2 linked regions of the Yarrowia lipolytica genome follow. The protein of the gene in region 2 purifies or fractionates together with the protein of the main gene of each other region. This does not show direct contact. Links are inferred from orthologs where the notes say so. Each region holds a gene or a part of one and is shown on either strand. Other genes may lie near its edges.

Region 1 (2,590 bases), about 2.1 Mb from region 2:
AACCCATTCTTATATCCGTCGTTGTAACTACCCCCCCCCACATGTCCCCACACTCAAGTCCGCCGAATCGAACAATAGAGTGCTGTTGTACATAGTATGTGTGTGTATACAGTTGTAAAACCAACTATGGAGCAAAAGGAGCAAAAAAAAGGAGCAAAAGGCGCGCGCAAAAGACACAGCAGAGTGTAGACCGCTGAGGACGGTTCTTATTGGAGAATAAGACTGAAAGTTGGCCAAGTTGTAGAACAAGTCGCTTTGGCCAAGTAGTTGGACTCGCAGACTGTTCTGCTGCGGGAGTCTGCTGCTCCATGACCATGTCCACCACCTCTTTTTTTTTTTTTTCCACCGGCAAATCCCCGACGTCGCTCTAACTGGTCCTGCCTCGGCACGAAAACAAACCGGAGCAAACACGGGTGAAAATAAGCTTTTCTGACTCAGTGATCCCGACCGCAGGCACAGAATCATATGGAACAGAGAAGCTAATAAACCGAAATTGAGACTGGAAAAGTCTTGTACAAGCAAGTTCGATCTTGTACTTGTAGCTAATGAGCTGTGTGTGCAGTAGGCATGGAGTGATTTTCATTATCGATCGAGTTGGAATAACGGGGAATTTGGAATCATTTGGAATAATTTGGAGGATTTGGGGGATTTGGGGGATTTTGGAATAAAATGGATGAAAATGGAAGAAAATGAATGAAAATAATTGAAAAATCAAAAAATCCATAAAATATATAAAATATATAAAAAACCCACTCAAAAGAACCCAAACCCCCGGCCAGCAAACTGTCCGTGTCTCATCGACTATCATGTCACCAATCACTCACCTAAAAATACAATAGTCCGTGGTGTGCATGACCAAATGTTCCACAGATGCACTTGATGAAACTAAGTACTTGTAATTATGAGTTGTATCTCGATTGGCGAAAAAATTGAACCCCTCAAACTCGAATCCGACAACTACATTCCTCACAATTACCAGCCCCTTCCCTCAAAAAGTAGGTTACTCACGACGATCTGCTTATGACGTGGACATTTCAAAATAAGGTTGGTCACGTGCCCTTTTGCCTAGGGTTAATGCAGCCCCAGGTTTTGCAGGTTGAATGCCCCCCACGCTAAAATCCGTCGAAATGGGGGGACGTCAGGTTATGAGTGGTACAAGCAGGAGTTTTCGGAGCTTCCAGGGAACATTTGAGATATAACAATAAGTCATATAAGCCATTCTTAAGCGAAGATGTTGGTGCAGAGGTTTATTTACTCTTATTTCGATATTTTTTTTGAAATATCTGTATATGGACCTTAATTGGGACGTGGTTGGGACAGATTATGACAGTGTCACAGATTATGAGTATTTGACTGCTAGATGAAACGTCAAATTAGCACCTAATTGCCAGTTTGAATATTATAATACCCCCAATCTTTCTTTTTTCTAAGCCATTCCAGACTGGTCATCCCTCCTCTTAACTCATAACCTGAGTGGGACAGGTAGTCTAATTAGGATTTATCACCTTGTCCACATTACCATCATCATCATTGGTCATAACCTCACTCACACGCTCATACACACACAATCATGAGATTAGAAAACTGGCCGATTGTCGAAATGTTCCGGTCGCGGCCCGGCGTGCCCAACTGGCCCAAGTTTGGTCTGTTTGCCGTCGGCGTCATCGGATCGGCATATCTGGGATACCGCTATGCCACTCCTTCCGAAGAAGATATTGTGCGACGAATGAACCCCGAGTTGCGAGAGCGATACATGCTGGAGCGAGATGCTCGGCAGGAGTATTTCAACGAGTTTGTCAAGGAGGCCATTGCCCAGTCCAAGACCAACGAGCCCATCTGGAAGGTTGGGCCCATGGCTTCCAAGCCCATTGATTTCAATGTGGCTGTGCGAGAAAAGATGAAGGAGATCGAGGCTCGAAATGACCAGGATCGAAACGAGCGAATCAAGAACGAGCTGGCTGCCATCGCCAAGAAGGAGGAAGAGGAAAAGAACAAGAAGGGATGGTGGTAGAAGTGGTGATGGTGGAAGGGATGCTCGACCTGTAATGGGTTGGGCTGTCTAAACGTGTAAAAGTGTACATAGCAAGCATAAATAATGAATTAAGCATTGGATTTTTGAATGGAGTCGGTGGTGAGGTTGGACATGGACGTTTTTTTATTTTCATTTTTTTCCTTTTTATTTATTTATCTATTTATTTATTTACTTTTCTACTTTAAATTTACTTAAACACCTACCTAACGTGAAACAGAATTAATTCAATAAAACTCTGCTTGGAAAAGTAAATTAAAAATGAATTAAAATTATGAAAATGTAAAAAAAAAAAAATCCGACTATTAACGTATTAAAAATTGATTTAGAAAATATTAAACAAAGTACACGTTATGAATCACGAGCACTTGTACAAGTACTTCTACTTCTGCTTCTACTTCTACGCTATGTTATCACAATTTATTTATTTTTGCCTGCATCTCACAATCCAACCCTTACCCTTATCACCCTGTACGCGAGATTTAGGTTCAGGCCATCTGACCACCCTCAATATACCGACTTGCACATCAATGGGCCAAACCGAGTCGAAACAGACGTTTC
Region 2 (2,997 bases):
TAGTGGATAGAGCCCAGAAGTACCGTAAAGGATACGTGTGTTCCTGTTGAGAGATTGCTACAAATCTTCACAACACACAATTCCTACAAGTACAACTAACTACTCTACAACCATACACACTACAAGTCTCAAATATAGGGGATGGGACTCGATGGTCCAATCGTATTAACCCCGGAGGTTCGGCTGAGTACCAGCGTACGTCCTCCTAATACTATCTAATGCGAGTTGAGTAGTTCCTATCCTACAACTATCTCTTCTGTGTTTCCGACAGGGCAACGGGCTCTTTGCTTTCCGGATTCGCGACTCCTCTGTATAAAAGCGGCACGGGCAGCGTCTCGATTCTCAATGATCTAACGGGCTCTGGCTCTTGGCTATATCAATTTTGGCGGCTCTGGTCTTCTGTATCGGACTCGGGCTCTTTTTCTCCCTCTGTACTTGTACGGTTCTGTAACTAATTGGGGCTCCCACGGGCACTCTCGGACTCGGCTTCTCAGGCTCATACACACACATGGCTCTCTCTCGCACGGACACTCGGGCTCTCGCAATGGGTCTTTGACTCAAAATATCTCTCTATAGCGGCTCTCGTTGCTGGTGGCTCTTATAATCACTTGATATGGCGTCTTTCTAGATCTTGGCTTCCTCTGACTGGCGGTCTCTCGACGACTTGGCTCCCTATGGCGGCACATTCATTTCCAAACGGCTCTCTGCTCGGTCATTGTTAAGCGGCACTCCCCTCTGTAAAAAGTTCCGGCTCCAGGGTTTAGCATAGCTGAACTTCCTCCCCCTTGGTAGTCGGTCGAGATCACAGGCTCGAAGACGCGTCGAGACACGGGCTCAAGGCATTCTCTCTCTGTCGGTCGGTGGCACTTCTGCTCTGGCTCACAGGGCTCAGGCATCATATCGCTCTTCGCTATGGTAAGGTCATTTTTTAGACACATTCCCTTAGGGGCTGCAACACAGCTCTTAACCGGTAAACTCCCAGAGCGCAGCTTCTTAGCGACTCCAGTTGGGCATGTTCCCAAAGCACTCTGCTGACCACACTCGGTCAGGTAGTATTACGTCAGGTACGGCGGCCAAGCTCGTTCCTGGAAAGGCCTTGACAGGAGCCTGGTGCTTTTCAGCGGGCTCAGCACTGTCACAGAAGGACCCGACAACCGGTACAGTTGCCAGTCTGGCGGCGGAGGGATCGACTTCTGAAGAAGAAAAAGAAGAAGAAGAAGACAGCAAGAGCGCGATTGGGCTTCCTTATATACTTTTGGGACGTGGCTAGTCAGTAGACCTGAAGCGACAAGTGGGGGGGACACACCCGCCCTGCCATGCACCTAATCAACATTAGAGTTGAGAATGACACGCCTACCTCTTTGTTTTCTGGTGTGGTATCATTATCAGTGGACACTCATGCAGGCAAGGGATAAGGACGCTGGCTGCAGTCGATCCAGAAGGCAAAGGTGGCAGATGAGGACGTTTGACACATACGAATTGAGCAAAATGACCATGGTGCTGTATTCTCTTCGAAATTACGAGCCGAATGAGTGGAGTCAACATTTTTTCAGGTCACGTGCTTAGAACTTGTCCCAACACAGCGAACAGGGTTAGGGGAGACTTCCGCAAAACCTGCACACTGCATCCTCCCAAGCCCTCGGGCCATTAGCCAATAGAATAAGGACAAAATCCTGACCAGTGGAAATACACTTTGAGTGTAGAAAAGATCGCAGAGTGCACCAACTACTTACACAACACAGCAACCATGGCTTCAATCACCTCCGTCGTGAAGACTAGCGAGCTTATCCTCAAGTCTCCTCTCCTCAGCAAGATTGTTGTTCCTCTTGCCAAGACCTATGTCAAGTTCTCCGGATACCGACAGCTTGGTTTCAAGTGAGTATCAAGGAAAACAACGCCCTCCAGCGACACACCCCAACGACAGTTGCGCAGCATCGACAGTACGAGTGAATGGGAAAGATTATGGACGATTTCGGCTTTTGCGACACCAGTTTCAAGGCGTTTCTGCGTTTCTACGACACGCGAAATGTGCCCTTAAACGCGACGACGTAAGAGATATTTCAGGGTCAAAACACCATTGATACGGAAGTGACACAGCGACACTGGAAGACCACAAAAACCGACTCAGAAAGGAATCCCCCGACGCTCAACTGTAGATATTGCTGGAATTGTTGATTGATGGGTGTGCATCAACTTGTGCGTGAGCAAATACTAACCCCAGGATGAACGATCTGATCATTGAGGAAACCCCCAACATGCAGCTCGCTCTCCGACGACTCCCTCCCACCGAGTCTTACGACCGAGTCTACCGACTCATCCGAGCCACTCAGTTCTCTCTGTCTCACAAGCTTGCCACTGGTAACGACATCACCAAGCCTGAGGAGGACGACCACTACCTCATTCCTTACATCCTCGACGTTGAGGCTGAGGCTTTTGAGAAGGATGCTCTTGACAACCTCGAGGTTGTTAAGCGAAAGTAGGCATAAAAGCTCTAACAATACATGATTATTAGGTACGAGAGGGTAGGTATGGATGTCAGTACTTGTAGTCCGTGTATTGTATCTGGCACATGTAGTGTTGAAGATTGTAAGGGGTTTAGAACACAGAACGATTGGTGCGTATTGAGAGTTCTGTTGGCATTGACGCATTAATCTCTCTAAAATTAATGCCCCCGTTTGTGCTGACCAAATTGCTGTCTTTAGGGTCACTGTTGCGTGGTTGATTACTTATTACAAATGGGACGATTTTCACGCACTGTCCGAATCACCGATCATAATATTGGTCAATTTGTGTGAACAAAACTTAAATTTGTTTTAACCAAATTTCCAAACTAAGGATCACACAATTTAATGGAGAAATGACTTAGGAATAGGTAACTCGTTTTAGTCAGAGGATAGGAAATACGCCAGTTCCACACAATCATATCCTACTCCAACTACTTGTACTAGCTTGTAAATCGTTCACTTATCATCTAATGAATGTTAGCAGGCTATATAA

What was found.
Region 1: the proteins of YALI1_E40361g (region 2) and YALI1_E18903g purify together in Saccharomyces cerevisiae (affinity purification with western blotting; 3 studies listed by BioGRID, with this or other methods). This does not show direct contact. The link is inferred for Yarrowia lipolytica from reciprocal best matches to the Saccharomyces cerevisiae genes QCR7 and CBP4.

Annotation. Positions count from the first base shown.
Region 1 is NC_090774.1:1,889,287-1,891,876, reverse strand, and holds YALI1_E18903g (uncharacterized protein), read left to right. Parts: upstream 1-1,570; coding exon 1,571-2,011; downstream 2,012-2,590. Other genes in the region: YALI1_E18918g (uncharacterized protein), read right to left, coding at 1-43; YALI1_E18895g (uncharacterized protein), read left to right, coding at 2,383-2,590.
Region 2 is NC_090774.1:4,035,395-4,038,391, reverse strand, and holds YALI1_E40361g (uncharacterized protein), read left to right. Parts: upstream 1-1,747; coding exon 1,748-1,875; intron 1,876-2,221; coding exon 2,222-2,480; downstream 2,481-2,997. UniProt on the Saccharomyces cerevisiae protein: Component of the ubiquinol-cytochrome c oxidoreductase, a multisubunit transmembrane complex that is part of the mitochondrial electron transport chain which drives oxidative phosphorylation.